5 linked regions of the Danio rerio genome follow. Each later gene encodes a partner of the first gene's protein in a complex. Links are inferred from orthologs where the notes say so. Each region holds a gene or a part of one and is shown on either strand. Other genes may lie near its edges.

Evidence for each region.
Region 2: cnot2 (region 1) and cnot9 share a complex: the UniProt entries of both Homo sapiens proteins name them as parts of the CCR4-NOT complex. The link is inferred for Danio rerio from reciprocal best matches to the Homo sapiens genes CNOT2 and CNOT9.
Region 3: cnot2 (region 1) and cnot10 share a complex: the UniProt entries of both Homo sapiens proteins name them as parts of the CCR4-NOT complex. The link is inferred for Danio rerio from reciprocal best matches to the Homo sapiens genes CNOT2 and CNOT10.
Region 4: cnot2 (region 1) and cnot7 share a complex: the UniProt entries of both Homo sapiens proteins name them as parts of the CCR4-NOT complex. The link is inferred for Danio rerio from reciprocal best matches to the Homo sapiens genes CNOT2 and CNOT7.
Region 5: cnot2 (region 1) and cnot11 share a complex: the UniProt entries of both Homo sapiens proteins name them as parts of the CCR4-NOT complex. The link is inferred for Danio rerio from reciprocal best matches to the Homo sapiens genes CNOT2 and CNOT11.

The regions. Positions count from the first base shown.
Region 1 is NC_133200.1:31,065,175-31,068,674, reverse strand, and holds part of cnot2 (CCR4-NOT transcription complex subunit 2), read right to left. Parts: intron 447-3,500; coding exon 267-446; intron 1-266. UniProt on the Homo sapiens protein: Component of the CCR4-NOT complex which is one of the major cellular mRNA deadenylases and is linked to various cellular processes including bulk mRNA degradation, miRNA-mediated repression, translational repression during translational initiation and general transcription regulation.
Region 2 is NC_133197.1:12,453,816-12,457,885, forward strand, and holds the start of cnot9 (CCR4-NOT transcription complex subunit 9), read right to left. Parts: upstream 2,801-4,070; 5' UTR 2,585-2,800; coding exon 2,567-2,584; intron 1-2,566. UniProt on the Homo sapiens protein: Component of the CCR4-NOT complex which is one of the major cellular mRNA deadenylases and is linked to various cellular processes including bulk mRNA degradation, miRNA-mediated repression, translational repression during translational initiation and general transcription regulation.
Region 3 is NC_133191.1:8,036,391-8,040,481, reverse strand, and holds the start of cnot10 (CCR4-NOT transcription complex subunit 10), read right to left. Parts: upstream 2,801-4,091; 5' UTR 2,651-2,800; coding exon 2,632-2,650; intron 2,253-2,631; exon of another isoform or gene 2,190-2,252; intron 1,097-2,189; coding exon 1,002-1,096; intron 908-1,001; coding exon 746-907; intron 1-745. UniProt on the Homo sapiens protein: Component of the CCR4-NOT complex which is one of the major cellular mRNA deadenylases and is linked to various cellular processes including bulk mRNA degradation, miRNA-mediated repression, translational repression during translational initiation and general transcription regulation.
Region 4 is NC_133189.1:34,918,124-34,922,402, forward strand, and holds the start of cnot7 (CCR4-NOT transcription complex subunit 7), read left to right. Parts: upstream 1-1,479; 5' UTR 1,480-1,636; exon of another isoform or gene 1,637-1,904; intron 1,905-2,665; 5' UTR 2,666-2,758; coding exon 2,759-2,875; intron 2,876-4,279. UniProt on the Homo sapiens protein: Has 3'-5' poly(A) exoribonuclease activity for synthetic poly(A) RNA substrate. Its function seems to be partially redundant with that of CNOT8.
Region 5 is NC_133184.1:58,585,888-58,590,183, reverse strand, and holds the start of cnot11 (CCR4-NOT transcription complex subunit 11), read right to left. Parts: upstream 2,801-4,296; 5' UTR 2,621-2,800; intron 1-2,620. Other genes in the region: rpl31 (large ribosomal subunit protein eL31), read left to right, coding at 3,961-4,061. UniProt on the Homo sapiens protein: Component of the CCR4-NOT complex which is one of the major cellular mRNA deadenylases and is linked to various cellular processes including bulk mRNA degradation, miRNA-mediated repression, translational repression during translational initiation and general transcription regulation.

The DNA.
Region 1 (3,500 bases):
AAACTCACATTGGTAGCATTTAACAATGAATAAAGCACATAATCTGTACCTGAGGTGATAATAGTTGTTTATGCTGCAGAAATAGATAAGGTTTCTAAAATAGAAATTTCACGTGTCGCATATGGTTAGGACGAAAACTACTTTTACATGGAAGGACACTGTTTTATTGCGTGCTGCGGCACCATGTGCTAGTTTTTAGTGCGCATAATTACAAAATAAAATAATAACAAACAAAAAAAAAATCCCAAATGTACGTCCAGACTTACCTGTTGATGGTGAATGGCTGGCGTGCTGGCTGCTGCTTGGGCATGCAGATAATGCTGGGAGAGCTGCGGTTTGGGCTGCCCAGGCCAGAACTGCCCATACTGTTGGTCCTGCCGCTCATACCCATGCCCTGCCCTACCTGCGAGCTCATCATGTTCCTGGTGTTCATGGGTAGGATCCCCCTGTTGAACATCATTAAGATTTGAATTTAAAGCTCGCCCAAGAATGAACATGTACTCACCATTGACTAAAAAAAAAAAAAAAAATCACAAAAATCACATAAAAATCACAAGGGTCACAAAAGCTTAACGACAAGAGTTCATAGAGATGTTGACTACAAGAATTCCATGACTTTTAAATAAATACTAATGACCTAATGATTCATGTAATATCTATGTGTACATGGTAGGGCTGCTCGATTATGGGAAAAATCATAATCACTATTATTTAGGTCATAATTGTAATCACGATTATTCAAAACGATTATCAGTTGAAGTCAAAATTATTAGCGCTCCTGAGATTATTATTTTTTTTTTAAACAACTATTTCCCAAATTATGTTTAACAAAGCAAGGAATTTTAACAGTATTTCCTCTAATATTTTTTCTTCTGTAGAAAGGCTTATTTGTTTTTATTTTGGCTAGAATAAAAGCAGGTTTAAATATTTTGAAACCCATTTTAAGGTCAATATTATTAGCCCCCTTAAGCAAAAAATATTTTTGATTGTCTGCAGAATGATTCTCTACTTGTATGTTTATTACACAAGTAAGGGTTAATATGAATAATCACTAAACACCGGGTTTTGACACCTATTTGACCATTAAATCGCTCACATTAAGATGACTTTAGATGTGTGCGCTCTGCTCGTCTTAGTGTGCGAATGATGAGACCGCATACTTCTGTGTGTGCGCGCTACACACACACAAAGCTACACACACACATAAGCATGCGGTCTTTCACGCTGCTAAGTTAATAATCGTTTATCTCGATTAATGGTTTTTCATAATCGTTAGAAGCTAAAATCGAAATCGGATTTTCGATTAATTGCACAGCCCTAGTACATGGTAAATAATAAGAAAAAAGCACATTCAAATTTACTATAAAACACAATAAATACATGACAATCTATGTAGTTTACAATACAAAACAAAATTTATTTGGTAACACCTATATAACAATAATGTGAAAGCATGTGACAAATATTATTATACGTTTATGTAAAGAAAAAAGGTTGTAACAACACACACTACCCGTAAGCATCACTTGTAAACAAAATCTTAGAATGACAGAAAATTAATGAAAACTAAATAACATGTAGAATTGCAATTCATTTCACAAAATGATAAATAATTAGTAAAAAACAAAAACACTTATCAATTTTAATCAAAAGTAAACACTAGAAAGAGGCTAAATTATTTAAGCAACAATAATTCAATTTATAGAATTCTCAATTATATTTATTTAATTCTTAATTATATACATTTAACTATTTATTTATGAGTTCAGATGCAAAATCCTCTAAACCCTTCAGACCTCCAGAGCATTTTCTATCAGGCTCCTATAACTAGGTTTAGACATTTCATTTTATAGATAATAAAAAAGTCATTAGCTAGTACATCAAATAACTTTTTTCAAAAATGTCACTAGACAACTTTTGCTTTTTTAACAAGGTGGATTTTTTTGGCATCAAAACCAGCTAAATTAACTTGTGCTTTTTTTTTTTTTTTTTTTGCAAAAACCACTTCTAAATCCACCTATTGGGACAAGAATTAGATGAAATTATTTTACCAAACATAAAACATTACACAAACCACCTAAAGTTGAAAATACATAAATCTGTCAAGTAAGTGGCTGTTCATTCCGCTGTGGTAACCCCCGATAAACCAGGGACTATATGGAAAATGAATGAATGAAATCTGTCAAGTAAGTGCATTAAACAATAACATTAAAATTGACATTACATCTTAACATTCTGTTGTCATTTCTGATATTTGGGATTTAGATTTAATATAGTGCAAAGTAAAAATTGTAAACTAAGCTTGTTAGATTCGAATGATGTAGTGTAAAAACATCAATATCTTTGCACTGTCCATTAATAAAAAGTAATACAATTTATTGAAGAAATATAATGTCAAAGTTGTAAGCATTATATTTATCTTTTTTAAAAATTGCTTACACTCTAAGAGTGCTTTCACACCTACACTTTTGCTTCGGAACCTGTCTCGTTTGCCCAGTTAGTGTGGTTCGTTTGGCATATGTTAAACCCCCAATCGCTCTCAGATTCGCGCCAAATCAATCGCTCCGAGATCGCTTGAATGAGGTGGTCTCGGAGCGATTGAAACAAACTCTGGAGCGGATCGATTGCAGTAAGAAAGCAATCTGATCCGAGCGCGGTTATATCACTGTGTTTTATGGATATGTAATAGGCAAACGGCTATATGAACAGAAAATTATGAGTAGGGCGGGAAGTTTTGCAAGTCTCCAGATGCCCGCAAATGAATGATAATCTCCCGGTAATCTCGTGTCTCCCTCTCGGTCCTCAAAAAGGCTACGTCGTGCACCCTTCTCACCCTCTCCTCACTCTTTACACACGTCGCGCGCACCTTGTCAAACACCACCAAACCACCACCTCTCCTGACAGCTGAGCGGGACTGCAAAATAAACCCTGACACTCTGACCAATGTGAGGAGAGTTTACTCTCACATGACTTGTTTTAGCTCTTTTGGTCCGATTAGAAACTTTGCAGTGTGAAAGCGAACCGCACCAAGAGCAAAGAGCAACAATGTAACATTTGTAATCTCTATTTCGGAACAACTGAATCGATTCACAGGTGTGAAAGCACCCTCAGACACTTTTAAAAGCTGTCATTCATTCATTTCTTCTCACAATACTCAAGGTCTTGGTCTCTTTTTTGTCTCTTGTTTATCCTCATAGCATCCATGTGGGATAAAAGAACAGCATCTTAACTTTGTCTTTCGTGAAATGGAGTTGCCGTTTTAAGTAATGAATAGTAAATCGGACTCATTTAAAGTAGCTTGACTGTGCAAAAAAAAAAAAACATGCATGTTACATAAGGGTGTCACGATCCTCCAAATCCTCGATTCGATTACATTTTCGATTCTAAAGGCACGATTCGATTCGATTTTCGATTATGAATAATTAATTAATTAATGACCAATCATCATTTAATCATTTGTAGCCTACCGTTTAAACTACCTGACCTGCATGGTCTTTGTT
Region 2 (4,070 bases), on another chromosome or scaffold:
AATATAATTTAAAATGACACATTCTATTAAAATAAGCATCACAACCAAAATACACTTATACAAGTCACAAATAGGTTTTTCTTTCCTTCATTGAGTCATTACTTTGACTACTAACGTCTAGGCATGGGACGATTTAAAAGTTTGGAATAGACAAGGCTTTAAAACCGCTAAAATGTTCTGTTATATCGTTTATAAGGTATATGTAAGGGTTTACAGTGTATTTTTTTTTTGTGTGTTGTAAAGAAATCTGTGTTTTTGAAACTAATAAAGAGAGCAGAAGTCAATGATTTATTTTTACTATTTACCCTGACATAGTTCATAAAACATAATATATTGCATGGAGAAAGTTTTTTTGTTTTGTTTTACCCAGATATGTAAAAAGCACTTATTTTAGCGCAGTAATGATACCACAAAACTATGCTATTTTTATCCAAGGTTATATCATACTGTCAGAATCTTATACCAGCCCATGCCTACTAATGACTCAAATGTCAAAATGTATGGTGTAATTTTTTTTCTCACAAGTTGTTACTATATTACCAGGTGACAAAATTAATATTAATAATAGTCACACATAACTATAACTCATAACTATATTTACTAATGACCATGAGGAAAATAATTCTATTTACAGGGTTCGTCCTTCATTTCAATGATTTTCAAGTAAGTTTTAATGACCTAATGTTACATGTACTGTCTCCATATACGTGGTAAATAACAAGAAAAACTATGCATGTTAAAGGTTATAATGGAATATCATAAAACAATCTATTAGGTTTAAATGAATCTTTATAGGCTGCACAGTGGCACAGTGGGTATCACCGTGCTCCGGTTTTCCCCACAGTCCAACGACATGTGGTATAGGTGAATAGGGTAAGTTAAATTGTCCGTAGTGTATGTGTGTGAACGAGTGTGTATGGATGTTTCCCAGTGATGGGCTGCACCTGGAAGGGCATCCGCTATGTAAAAACATGCTGGATAAGTTGATGGTTCACTCCGCTGTGGCGACCACAGATTAATAAAGGGACTAAGCAAAAAGAAAATGAATGAATGAATAAATTAATCTTTATATCCATTTAAAATTTATTTAGACAATGTTCACACACTACTAATAATGTGAGAGCATGTGTTCGACCATGGACAGAAAAGAAGTAGGGCTCAACGCTAAGAATTTTTTCTACTGGCCCAATCGGACCAGCTGTTCAGATTTTTACTTGCCCTGCCAATATTTTAACTGGCCCCACCAAAAAAAGTTAATAGCTATTTCTTAGCCACAAATTAAAAAGAAAAACATGTCAAAATGTTTGTAAATCTAGAATTTAAATATTAAAAAAAAAATTAATGTTAATAAACTACTAGTTAATTAATAGTTAATAAATGTATAATGAGCAAAATTCTAAGTGTTCTGAAACAAAGGATGGCTAAAGACCTGCCGAACTGACGGCAAACTGTACAAAACATCACTTAATTGTTTTAGTCGTGGTGTACCCTCGTAAATGTCTGCTTCCAAGACATTAAAAACACATGTCTTCCTTTAGCATAATCATTTGATGTTACCGCCATGTTGGAGTCTCTACGCTGTACTGGTTGATACGGATAAAAATAATGTGCTCACAACATCCAATCAGATAAGAAAAACCGAAAGGTAGCATTTGAAGGCTTGAAAACACAAACTCTTTCTCAATTCTAAGACTGTATTTTGCACGCAATTGACAAATAGTCACAGGCAAATGAAACTAGTGACAAGGCAGCATAAATGATCCTGTCTACTGTCCCAAGCATCTCACACACTGGCCCCGGGCCATCGGGCAGTCCTTATTGTTGAGCTCTGAGAAGTAAAAAAGACAACTGATCTATATTTAAGTATACAGATACCTGTTAAACTAATTTCCATGATTTTTTTCTAAAACTTTGTTGGTTTTTCCGTTTTTCCAGGCCTGGAAAATGCCATGTCAAATTTCCATGACTTTTCCAGGTTTTCAATGACCGTATGAACCCTGCATTTAACTGACTTAAATTATAATATTGTTATTATTATTAAATTATAACGCGATTTATATTGTCATCTATATTTTACATTCAGAAATGCAATTTTTCTCATAAGAAGCCTAATTTTACGGCTTTGTTGACTGAAATATGTTTATATATTACCAGCACCAGCGACTCTCAAACGTGTTAATTTAATTGCGAACATTACATATGTACATTTTGGATACTTGTTTTTTGTTTATACGTCCTCGTTTGATATTTATATTTTTGATGTAAAATGTAATATGCTGTTCTTTAAATGAAAAAAATAAAACACTAACTTAACAACTATGCTAATATTATGTTTACAAAAAGCACACGTAGAAAACGTCAGGCTCGCATAAATTTCTCACATATGACTCTCTAATAACTATAAGTACTTACACTACATTATGTTTAAAGAAAAGTCTAAAATAAAGACGAAAACGAGCTTTAATACAGATCACCATAGTAACTGGTTGAATTAGCTTTAGCCGTTAGCTCTACCAGGCCCCTGCACAAACAAGAGTAAAACCCCGAAAAGCGTCCAGAAACTCACCGCTCCTGTCGCCAACATCCTCGCGACCGCTTTACTGTGCTCTCCAGAATAAAAGTGAACAGTGGTTTTCAAAACAACGAGAAATAAACCAGGTTTACATTAGCAAATGAGGTAAGGGGAAAAAAACAACCGCCTTCCGCAGCTGCCTCTTCTTCTACGCTCCTCTTCTTCTTTTTCTTTCTCTGAGTTGTTGGCGGGTAAGGATCATCTGTGTTCATTGCTGCCCCCATGCCGACTCTTGAGTAGTAGCCTACTATACTTAAAGTGCTTATTTTAAACTCCATTGTTCACTTCTACTAAAAAATAACAATTCATTGATTATAGTTATTATAAATATGCTGTTCATCATAATGGTATTAAAATTATTACGTTATAATGATTATTATGTGATTAATGATAACAATAGGGTATTGATATTTTCATATAATAATAATAATAATAATAATAATAATAATAATCACAACAATAATAATCAATTATTCATTTTTCATCCATTTTCTTTTTGGCTTAGTCCCTTTTTTAATCTGGTGTCGCCACAGCGGAATGAACTGCCAACTAATCCAGTTTATGTTTTACGCAGGGGATGCCCTTCTAGCTGCAACCCATCACTGCATGCCCGTAGCCAGCCTGGTGAAAGGGGTGGTTCTTTTTGACCTTGTGGAACTTTTTTCACTTATACGCCTCAGTTTCTATTTAACTTTGAGATTTGAATACTGCAAGTACTGGTGAAGTTTTTTTTCCCTCTCCGCTGTCGCCACTGCCTCGCATGGTTCAGGATTGGTAGAGCTACGCATCAATGAATCGGCTCTTCAGTGTTTGAACTCTCAGTAATGATTAAATCACACTGAACTGAGCTAAACTGAACTGAACTGAACTTAAACACTAAAACCTGAACCACACTGTTCCAGTTACTATGACCATTTATGTGAAGCTGCTTTGACACAATCTACATTGTAAAAGCGCTATACAAATAAAGCTGAATTGAATTGAATTGAACTGCATTTTAGTGATTTTTTTGCTGGATTAACTAGTCAGATGTCATCAAAACCGCACTTTTTGATGTACTAAAAATATGTCTTAAAAATTGCATTAAAAAAATAAAACAAGACTAATTTTTAAAATACAAATTTATTAAATAATATACAGTATCATTAAGAAAAAATAGCAATCTGTCAAAGTTTTGAAGTAAAATAATTGTTGCCCACTAACATTTATTAGACAAAAAACAAACTGGCCAGCACACGCAACTGCCCTTAGTCACAATTTGGCCAAAAAATGTTAAAATTTAATAATAATAATAATAATAAAACAATTATAATGAATTTTGCAGAATTGTTCTAGTCTCTTTGGTAAAAAAAAATACAATTGAAAAATCCTAGATATGAACAATAGCCAACATATATTCTAATTAATTTAATATGGTCTGCTTCTGATGCTTCACATCTTTTTAATGCTCATTTTTATTTCAGAAATAAGGTCCCAGATTTAGAATAAAAGTAACCTG
Region 3 (4,091 bases), on another chromosome or scaffold:
GTGGGCTGCAGTAGAGATCTAAAATTTGTAATCCCGCTCCCGGGGGTTGATGTGTTCGCGAACGGAGGAGCAAAGGCAAAAACCACCCAGCTACATGATACAGGGTCCAGACAGCCTATAACAAGCTGTCTGTATAAGCACACACACACATAGATGCACAGCCCCAAGCAAGCGACACACAGCATCACACTCTCACATTCACACACATACATACACGTGCTCGCTCGGGAGTCGAGAGCGATATTGTTAGACCGCCCCCTCCAATTCAAATAACAACAGTTACCGACCGCTCCCACACTTAATTTAGAAATTTATACCATGATACAAGAAATCTAGTCGAGTCCTGCGGCTGTACAATGGGAGCTGCGGGACTCGACTAGATTTCTTGCATCATGGTATAAATCATTCCACAAGATGTTGGTAAATAAAAATGACTATTATTTACAAGAATGTAATAAATTGATCAAAAATTACTTTTTTCTAAAATATTTGAATCATACTGATGTCATATGTCAAAGCTAAATCAATGTTTAATATATAGAAAGAGATGAATAAAACAGTGTCCATAATGTGCCATTTATCTCAAAAAATATATTATATATGTTAATATTGAATAATTTATTAAAAAAAGATTAAACCCTATGATTAAAAAATAAATATCATTTTGGTGCATCCTTAATTTTCCTCTCCAACTCAAAGCCTTCACTTTTAGCATCCCTTAATAGAGACATCAGTGATACCATACCTGATTCTTCAAGGTCATCAGCGTCTGCTTCAAGGTGCTGCTTGTTGTCTGCCCACTTTTATAAAACTCAGTGACCGCTTTGTTCATTGTAATCTTGTAGTCCTCTTTGTTCAGCTCCTGAAGGTTGTCAAGATATTTCAGAGACTCGTCATAGCTTCCAGTCTGGAAGAAAAACGCAATATAATGTCACAGAGATCTGGAAAAAATAATCACAAAAAATATGTCTTTCACAGACATCTATATAATAACTATTTACCTTAAACGCCTCGAAAGCATTGGTTGCAACCTCTTTCTCTAAATCCGACATCCCAGGGGATGAAGCGATGTCATGCTTCATGTCACCAGATTGATCTTAAAAGAAAACAGATGCAGTTAATGACAGGACATATTCAACTCATGCAGTATTCAATTGAGGTAAAGATTGTTTTATTTTCGCACATTCGTTCAGTGAAAACAACTTGTGACTAGGCATTGGGCAATAACCGTTTACAAGGTATACCAGGTTTGAAAAAGTCAAGGTTTTAAACCCGCAAAAATGCTCTACTGTACCATTCCTAAGATAAGTGTAAGAATGTTTTTTTTTTTTTTTACGTTTTTTAGGATAACAGTATCTCCAACAGAAAATATATTTAAAGATGCCATTTTAAATTGTAATGAAATCAGTGTTTTTGAAAATAATGAAGACAGCAGAGGTCAATGACTCATTTAAATTATGTAGTTTGACATGTTTAGAGCTCCAAAATATTATAAATGTTTCTCAAAATAAAATATATTGAGTTCAATGGGGAATAGTTTTTTTTTAATAATAATAGAGCAATTATCAAAATAATGTGAAACCATGAGATTTTTATCCAAGGTTATCATCCTGTGAGAATTCTTTAGCCTACTTGTGACATGCTCACTACATAGTTTAGCATGGTAATTAAAATATATTCAGTCTGAAATCACACCGAATTATAACTTGAAAACAACATCAGCACTATTTATTTGACTGTGAACAATGTTGTACTTTAAAAGTCTAATATGATTTCAATATTTAGAATTTGCAAAGAATATTTTTTTTTTAATTATGTTAAGGAAAAAGTCAGAATGTGTGAATGAATATAAAACTAACTTTACCTCAATACTGAGGTAAAGTTGGTTTTATATTTACACATTAATTCGGTGTCAACTTGTGACACACTCCCTATTAGAGGCAAAGTTGGTTTTATATTTGCACATTTGTTTATTTGGAAGTCTCTATATTGTTTACCATGGTACTTTGAATATTCGATCGGAATTAGCATGCAAGTGTGACTTAAAAACAACATCAACACTGTTTAATTGACTTTGATAGTCACTGGCTGCTAGTATGATTTCGCCATTTAGAGTTTGCAAATAATAATTTTATGAAATTATATTATTAAGGAAAAGTCTGAATGTGCAAATATAAAACCAACTTTACCTCTATTACCTCAATGAATATCCACGGACAGCACTGACAGCCATTATATGACTGCAAACTGCACTAAACAATAAAAACAAAAGCATTTGTCATATATTTAAACAGCTATTTAAATAAAATGCTAACTCAAAATCCTAAATGTTACACAATAATATGCATTAAAGCATTATTTATATTCTAAACTAACTATAAACAACATAACTCATTTAACGTACAAGCATTACTGGGCAAGTTCATTAACAGTTAGCTATCTATTTAGACGTTGTTATTCAAACTATGCACTGTAAACCAAACTACAAACTTTTATAAAGCTACAAATGTAAAACTTATAAACAAAACAAGAATCTGTTTGCGGTAAAATCCTCTGTTTACATGCCCGGCTGCGCTGGAGAACAGCTGCAGTGTTTTGCAAGACCCGCTGTATGTCAAACACGCCGCCTACCTGAGCCTGTTTCAGCCATTCCTTCAGTTATATGGACGATAATTCACTTTTTCAACAGATAAAGGTGTAATTAATTCCACAATTTGAACCGACGGAGAGAAAACGGAGAAGGTGTGTCTCTTCTTAGCAGCTTCAGAATTCCGCCATGAATATTACCCACAACCGCCGCGCGAGTGTTTTTTTCAAACCGGAATTTATGTTCGCGATTGACATCTATCGGGTTGGAGGAAAAACTACAACTATTTTTTTTTATAGTTCACTCAAAATACGATAACATTCTGTCATCGTTTAACAATCGTTAACAACCTGTTTGACTTACTTTCTACAGTTGAACACCTGTAACCATGACAGATTCGCCTCGCCCCTTTACTACAAACTAGTACGTTAGAAAAGTAGGTGTGCTAGACCTTTTTTATAAAATGCACAATTGCACATTATGCTTTGCGTGTAAGCATGAGTCAAGTCAAGTCAACTTTAATGTCAATCAAACCATGCAACAGTACATTACACAGCAGACTGAAACTGCGTTTCTCCCACACTCCAATGTGCAATTTAAAAACAAAAATATGACACACACTAGACATAAACTAAACATTTAACTAATATAGTACAAGATAAATTAAATAATAGACACTAATAAACTGTGAACAGCTACCATGTATCCTAAGAACAGCTACCATATATCCTAAAACAGCTACCATATATCCAGCTACCATATATCCCATAAGAAGGATGCTTTGAACTTCTGGTCTGCAGCTTGATGTGTATCTTCAAGGAGCTTAGAATGACCAAGCAGCGACACTCAATAGAACATTCCAATGCAACAGCAGCGCCCATTTCACCATCCAGCTTATCCAGCAAGTTTTTATGCAGCGGATGCCCTTCCAGCTGCAACCCATCTCTGGGAAACATCCACACACACATTCACACACACACTCACTACAGAAAATTTAGCTTTCCCAATTCACCTGTACCGCATGTCTTTGGACTGTGGGGGAAACAGGAGCACCCGGAGGAAACGCAGGGAGAACATGCAAACTCCACATAGAAACGCCAACTGATTCGAGGCTTGAACCAGCGACCCAACGACCTTCCTGCTGTGAGGTGACAGCACTACCTACTGCGCCGCTGCCTCATGAAAAGCAGCTGTTTTGTTTTTTATTTATTCATTTAAAAAGCCGACAAAGCTGAAATACAACCTGAAAGACGACAATACAACACTTACAATCATAGACTGGTGATTATCAGCACTTTTAATAGTTTACTTTACAGAATGTTTAATAAATTAACCATATTTGTTTTCTTGAAACTGTCCCTTTTAGGTGAAATTACTTTAAGTTACTTTAATAGTTTTCGGACTGGCATATTACCTACTGACATGTTAAAATAAATTAACATGACTTTCAATATGGGATGTTGATAACAGATTAGCAGTACTTTTTGTTGGAGCATTATATTAT
Region 4 (4,279 bases), on another chromosome or scaffold:
AACTCTATCTCCTCCTAGAGCTTTCAAGCTATGACCACCAAACTCACACCAGACCTCCAAACTGGTCTGACTCGGGTTGCTATATCTTTTCCGACTGATCCGACTTTCGGTTTTCCGAAAAACGTCCCGGGACCATCGGAAAAATCCCATTGACTTAACATTGGACCAATCTTTGTGACCTCATAACTCTGCATCAGACTGTCCTACAGACTTCTAACTGGGCTCATTTAACTCAGACTACCTAACTGCCAATAACTGATGAGCTTTTAACTTTCTGGCCACACCCTAGCAACCACTTTTGGGACCCTAGAAACTGTCCCATAGACTTCCACTGCAAAAGACTCTCATTGACTTTACATTGGGTCAAACTTTGTGAGCTCATAACTCTACATGAAACTGTTGCACAGACTTTTAACTGGGCTCAATTAACTCAGACTACCAAACTACCAATAACTGATGAGCTTTTAACTTTCTAGCCACACCCCTAACAACCAGATGCGGCACCCTAGCAACGATCCCATAGACTGCTATTATAGAGGTTCAGACTGATATCGTCATGCTGCAGTGAGATAGAGACATGTGTTGCTTTTAACTGTTCATACTGGCAAGAAGCTTTGATACATCAACAGTCTAAACTGTCAATCAACTCCATAGCAACAAAACAGACTAACCTAGCAACGATTTAACAGCAGCTATATCTTAGTATCAGAACATCTTAGAGAAGCTGGGGTTGGCTTGTTTGACTCATGCTAGCAAACCATCTATCTATCTATCTATCTGTCTGTCTATCTATCTATCTATCTATCTATCTATCTATCTATCTATCTATCTATCTATCTATCTATCTATCTATCTATCTATCTATCTATCTATCTATCTATCTATCATCTATCTATCTATCTATCTATCTATCTATCTATCTATCTGTCTGTCTGTCTATCTATCTATCTATCATGCTAATTCATGCTAGAATCATCTTTTCATACTTTTTAAAACTGTTTAAACTAAATAAACTATTATCATCAGGCTTTCACAAGCCTGCCTCAAAGTTTGTCCTCAAACTTTAAGAATCTAGTTACAAATGTTTCTTTACAATAGTATCTTTGGATACCTTTTCTGCTGGAGATACTGTTGTCCTAAAAAAAAAAAAAAAAAAAAAACTGAATACAAATTATTACACATACCTTGTAAGAAACGTTATAGCTGAAAATTTGGGCGGTTTTAAAACGTTGACTTTTCCAAAGTACAGTATACCTTGAGAACGGCTATTGTCCCATGCCAGACAGATAGATAAACAGAGAGATAATATGAATATATAGAAAATAATATGAAAATAAACATTACCTGGGGGTTATGAAGCATAAACATAAAAATAACTAAATTGCACATCAGCGTCTTTATTTACGAACATAAAACTCCCACGAGGAGTTCAAAGGTCAGGCGTCGTGGTGTTGTGACGTCACGCTGTAGCGCTGTGATGTAGTTTCAGAGGTGGCAGCTGGTTGTTGATATCGGTGTTAGCCCAATAAAACTATATAAAAGTAAAGAACAAACGTCCCAGTCCTTTCTAAACAAGGTGATTGTGTATTACTGAAGCAGTATACGCTTTAAGTGTAACTACCTTGTTTGAGGAAAGGTAAGTCCTGACAGAAAAAAAGTCAAGTTTGATCATTCTAACAGGACAAACTTTGTGGCTAAGCTAGTAGCTAACACGCTAGCCTCATACAGAAATAAACATTCACCCCGTTCTCCAAACAGCACAATTCACACGTTACGAGAGGCTACTAACACAGTTCTTTGAAAGCTTAGTGTAGACGTGATTTCAGGACGTTTGCGGTGTTGTTTTTTCAGTTTAGCAGATTTTGTCCTAGCTGCTGCTGATGCTTCTAACCTGTCAACCCACAGTAAGTTATTTGGGCGTTTAATAGCTTAAGGACATGTGAGGCAGAATACAATAGACTATAAAATCACTTTAACGTGCATGAATATTCAAAAGCATTTTTGGCACACAACCAATCTTCCTACATGCTTTGTTTGCATATTGAAGTGAATGCTTCTGTTAGCCTGAAACCATGTTGTCTTATCTGGCACTTGTTGTAATGTTTAGTCACACTACAGTAGTTTTTTTCTGTATGTTGTAAGTATGAATCATTATTCAAATGCTGTCATGAAGCAAAAATAGCAGCCGAGGAGTCATGTTTACAAAGAGGAAGCTTAGAGGAAGAAAATCTCCTTCTGTTTCTAATCTTCATAATGCTGTCTGGAATGAAAAGGTTGTTCATCTAACAAAGTGTGAAATTTGTAAACACATTTATATTGATTTACCCAAGTGAATCATCCAGGCCATGGCAGACGTAGGATCCACAACTAAATTCACAGACAAGTTTAGTTGTTATTTAGAGTTTAGAGCAGAAAATTCAGTTTGTGCATACTTGATTACAAAATTCTCATTTTAATGACAGATGATGGACTTTTGGTGACATATATAAACCATTTAGTACATATTCTTTTATTCATTCTGCATTTTGAACACTGTTTATTTACACTTTCATAAAATGAATTTGCATTTTATTTATTTGTTAGTGTATTGTTTGTGATGTAGTAAGAATAAAGTCATTTGATTTAAATCAGCAGGCTAGTTGTAATGCTTTGTTTGTTTTTGCAGGCAAAAAGAGGGAACAAGCAACTATTATTTCATGAGAATATCCCCTGGGGAGTGTTTTTTTGGTTTTGATGCCGTGCACCTGAGAGTGGAACTATGCCCGCAGCCACTGTGGATCATAGCCAGAGAATATGTGAGGTTTGGGCCTGTAATCTGGAAGAAGAGATGAAGAGGATCCGACAGGTGACCCGAAAGTTCAACTACATTGCAATGGTGAGTTTGAAAGTCATGTTGTTTCATTTAAATGAGTCCAGTTTTATTTTTCACATGTAATCTAGGATTGTTGCTTAGCAAGTTTAAATAGTGCTGTTAATATCCAGAATGTCTACATCAGATGTCACAGAGGTGTAAGGGCATGTGATGATTGTTATACTTGTTGTTTAAATTTCGTTTAAGCTGTATGTCACTCCCTTAGCTTTGCACAAAACAAAAACACATCTTGAGGGCCCAAAAGCATTAAACTAGATAGGCCTGTGTAATTCAAGTGAAGAAAGAAAAAAACAGTTTGTGTTTTTATAATTACACATGCATTCTGGGATCGAATGCTTCAAATAGACAGCCTTTTCAGATCATTTTTAATGCAACAGTTTGCTTTATACCCAGCCTGTAACATCGGTATCTATACATTTTCTATACATTTTTATCAATTTTATTTTGCTATACATGAAAAAGTTAAAAAAAGATAGTTATGGTTGCATAAAATGTGTTTGTATTTTTATAAAAACAAATTCAGAAGCATCACCTGAGCTGTAATGTTTCAGAAAAGACCAGAGGCATTGTCACCTGGCCAAATGTGAAACACTTGTGTTGTCATCAAAGCTTGTGCAGTAACACAAGGGAAAGGGAAGGAGGAAAAAAAACTTGACATCGGTGTAGTCTCAAGTTGGATAAAGTAGCATTCACTGCTTTAAGTCAGATGCTGTTCAGTATGTGCTGCCCTGCAAGTCAAATACACAGTCACATTTAATTTTGAAATAAAGCAGATTGCAGTTTTAATTGCATTGCTTAAATCAGTGGTTCCCAAAGAGGGGGTTGGCACCCCCTGGGGGGGTGGGGAGGGGTCGCAGGACAATGTGGGAGAGCCGCTTGATGATTTCCAAAAATTGATTAAATTTAAATAAACTATTAGAATTACTATATTTTATTCATAATCTACAGAGCACACAAATAGTATTTAATAGTTACATTAAACAACATGGGCAGCATGGTGGCGCAGTGGGTAGCACAATTGCCTCACAGCAAGAAAGCCGCTGGTTCAAGCTCCCACTGGGTCAGTTGGCATTTCTGTGTGGAGTTTGCATGTTCTCTCCGTGTTCGCGTGGGTTTCCTCCGGGTGCTTCGGTTTCCCCCACAAGTCCAAAAACATGTGGTATAGGTGAATTGAGTAAGCTAAATTGCACATAGTGTATGTTTGTGAACCCAGTGATGGGTTGCAGCTGGAAGGGCATCCGCTGTGTAAAACATATGCTGGATAAGTTGGTAGTTCATTCCGCTGTGGCGACCCCAGATTAATAAAGGGACTAAACCAAAAAGAAAATAAATGAATGAATTAAACAGCATACAAATAAAAATCTGCCTTTTTGTTTTGTTTTTTCTTTCATTGGATTGAGACTCCTG
Region 5 (4,296 bases), on another chromosome or scaffold:
AGATTAGACAGATCTTAATGAGCCAGAGTCATGATGCTGAGTTACTCTAACCCCCCCCCCCCCACACACACACACACACACACGCACACACACACACACACATACACACACACAATCATCCTAAACTATAATAAACAATCTTCAAGCTAAGATAAGTACACTACAGAGAAGATAAAAGTAAAATAAATAGTGCTTTATGGTGTTCTGCGAGGTATAGCAGTACTCACAGGGCTCGACAGTGCAACCATTTCACTCAAATATATGCGATTAAAAAAAGACGTGTGCGAACTGGAAAATGTATTTAGTCACATGTGCGATTTTCTTTTTCAGTAATTTACTTTCATTCATTCAGTCATTTTCTTTTTCAGCTTAGTCCCTTTATTAATCAGGGGTCGCCACAGGGGAATGAACCGCCAACTATTCCAGCATATGTTTTACACAGCAGATGCTCTTCCAGCTGCAACCCATCACTGGGAAACACCCATACACACTCATACACTACGGCCAGTGTAGTTGATCAGTTCCCCTATAGCGCATGTGTTTGGACTGTGGGGGAAACCGGAGCACTCGGAGGAAACCCACACTAACACGGGGAGAACATGCAAACTCCACACAGAAACACCAACTGAGCCAGCCGAGACTCAAACCAGAGACCTTCTTGCTGTGAGGTGAAGGTGCTATGCACTGCCTCACCGCGACGCTACAGCCTAAATTATAAATTATTATTATTATTATTTGCACATTCATTCGTTTTTGAACAGTAAAAGGTTGTGACGCGCTACTCTGAATGTTTGGTCAGACTTTGAAATAACAGCAGCTTTATTTAATTGACCGTCAACTGTGTTGTACTATGATGAAAAATTCTGAAATGACATTAAGAAGGTGAAAGTCAAAATGTGCAAATATTAAAACAACTTCACCTCAATACTTTCCAGGGCCTTCGATGATTTATTTTTATCACAAACTATCAAGGATTTCAATGACGTGTGCGAAGATGGTTTACAGCAGTTTAACTTCAATAAATGAAACAAATATCACTTAGCATCCCATATAACACATTCAATTAATATTTATGATCAGATTATTAGTTTTATGGTTAATCTCCATCCTCAGAGGATTTGAGATGTTTTAGATCATTGAGTGTTTCCCTAAGTGGTGGTCGGGACAATGAGGAGGGGTCACTTATCGATGTCCAACAATCAAATTCATTTTAGTAAACAATTAGAGCGACCATATTTCATCCATAATCTACTGAAGAGCACAATAGTAGTTGATAGTAGCATCGTTAACATGTTGATAATAAACTTTAATAAAAACACAACATGCAAACAAAAATCTAAACCCTGATGGCTTTTTGTTTGCAACCCCTCGGCTGATTATGCTATTTTAAAGACACAGCAATAGTGTCAGATGCAGCACAGCGATTTTATGGCATCAGGTTAAACTTTCTGACACATAAACAGCACTCAGGTAGATTAAAAATAAATACAGGTCTCAACTGAACATGGGAGATGGTCTCCGAGTGGCGTTCTCCAAAATTAAACGATGAACAGACTTGGGCCTACTGGTATATTTGCGCTGCTGTGTGCAAGGACTATATATATATACAGTTGAAGTCTGAATTATTCGCCCCCCTGTTTATTTCCCCCCAATTTCTGTTGAAGGGAGAGCAGATTTCTTCAGCACATTTCTAATAATAATAGTGTTAATAACTCATCTCTAATAACTGATTTATTTTCTCTTCATCATGATGACAGCACATAATATTAGACTAGATATTCTTCAAGACACTAGTGTTCAGCTTAAAGTGACATGTAAAGGCTTCACTAGGGTAATTAGGGTAACTAGGCAGGTTAGGGTAATTAGGCAAGTCATAGTATAACGATGGTTTGTTCTGTAGATTATTGAGAAAAATATATATCTTAAAGAGGCTAATAATAATTGACCTTAAAATGGTTTTTAAAAATTAAAAACGGCTTTTATTCTAGCTGAAATCAGACTTTCTCCAGAAGAACAAATAATATCAGGCAAACTGTAAACATTTCTTTGCTCTGTTAAACATCATTAGGGAAATATTTAAAAAAAATGTAAAAAATTAAAAGGGGCAAATAATTCTGACTTTAACTGTATAACCACCTCACAGAATATTGGGGGTCGTGAGTCCCTGGCACTGTTATTATGGGGGTCGCGAGCTGAAAGGTTTGGGAACCCCTGTTTTTAGATCATTCCACCACTGAGGAACAGAGACAGCAAAGGTTCTGGAATGACAGTCATAAGTGTAATACTCCATAAATAGATGACAAAGTAAAACAAAGTTAGTGTTCATCATGAAATATTATTAAAATATTCTTAGCATTAACATTTAATTGCAAAAACATGAAGCATGAGCTTAATTACACTCTATAAAGAACTGTAATAGTGGATAATGAAGTCAAACACTCAGTCAGAAGGCTTGTAGGACTGTTTTCATCAAAATATGAACTATATTCACTAATAAGTCTAAGTAAACACACTGTTGGTCAATTTTTTAGTGCTCTCCTAATCAATAAACCTCACTATAAGCAGTCTATGTAGGGAGCTCGGTGTGTTTTGACACACAGTGAGTAATAATAACATTTACCTGAGCGGTGTTCATCACCTCCCGGCAGATCATGAATATTCAACGCGGGCCGACACGGCGACACTCCAGCACAAAGATAACGATCAAACGCGATATAATACGCGTTAATGTTTGAATTATTCAGTGTTTTAACCTGAATGTGTTTCTTCACTTCTACTCACAACCGTCGCGGGTGTACGTGAGCACTTCCTGTGCGGCGCGCAGCACCATGGGAGATGTAGTTGACCACAAAACTACACTAATCGCCTTAAATCAAATTTGATGCATTCACGCATATATAAAGTAGTTACATGCAGGCATAGTTATAGCATACATGCTGTTATGTTTTTTTTACATGCTGTTATGGTTGAGAACAGAATGATACAAACGTTAGTATGACCCGGATGTGAACGCGCGCTCCGCCTTTGTATGTGTCCCATAATCCACCGCTCTTCCTTTTCCACATCCAGCGCACAGAGTGAGTACCGTTCTCTCATTCATGTTTCATAAATCCACCATCATCCGCCTTATCGATCACTAATAATCAAATATGCTGCTGTGTATGAGTGTAGAAACGCGTTATCGATCAGCGAGCGCCGGTTTGGCGGGGTTTAATCACAGATGTGAGCTTAAATGGAGTTCATTCTGAAACGCCGCAGTCTGACGAGCCGAAAGAGCAAAACCGGCGGGAAAACCGCAGTAAAACACCGAAATAAACCCTCAGTTCACCATAATAAGCGCTGTTTACATGGCTAAAGCTTATGCTCGTAGTGTAATGAGAGTAATGCAGCAGTTCGCTAGGTAGTGGGCCACCGTGTAGTGCACTTGAGTACGGGTTGAGCGTGTCAGTCATTACTGACGAGGTAAATTCATGTTTACAAATGAAACGGTATCTAGAAAGAGATCTAGACCGTTCTATTTAGGTTAACCTGTTTGTTATGGGTTAATAGTGACGTCAAGTGTTAATGTGTGTTTGTGTTTAGATGGCGTTTACATGTGTGGAGTAATATAATACGCGTAGCTGTGCTTTATATTCTAATAATCCACTCTGCCGGAGCTGATTATTGTGCTTCTCTGATCTCCACAGATAAATCCGCTGTACAGATGTTGTATGTTGAGTGTATTAGTCGGGTGTTTGTCCTCCTCAAATGTCTAGTGTCCTCCAGATCTACTTCTGATGTGATGTCTTACTGTTGTAGCTGTGTAATAACTCTAATCATACAGCGGAGTAACATGGAACTGTAATGCGCTCTAAACCTGCTGGAACTACTTTAGCTGTGATTTTATCTGACAATCAAACGTTCAGTGTGTCTGTTGTGTAAATGTAATTAACCTTTTGTGATGTTGTTATGTGTGTTTAGATGGCACCCAAGAAGGGCGAGAAGAAGAAGGGCCGCTCGGCCATCAATGAAGTGGTGACCCGTGAATACACCATCAACATCCACAAGCGCATCCACGGCATGTGAGTGCCCACAAACACTGCTCTGAGTTTAAGTGCACATTTCTGTATGCAATGATCCAAAATGTGCATAAAGTAATGCGTAATGCATGGTTTATACGGTCATGGAATTTTGCTTGGAAAAGTTCTGGTAAATCTGAAAAAGTTCTGGAAATTACTTTAACAAATAACTGCATATTAAATGTGGGTTAGTTGTCTTATTTTCTCTCCATGGCCAAACACATGTACAGATTCATTC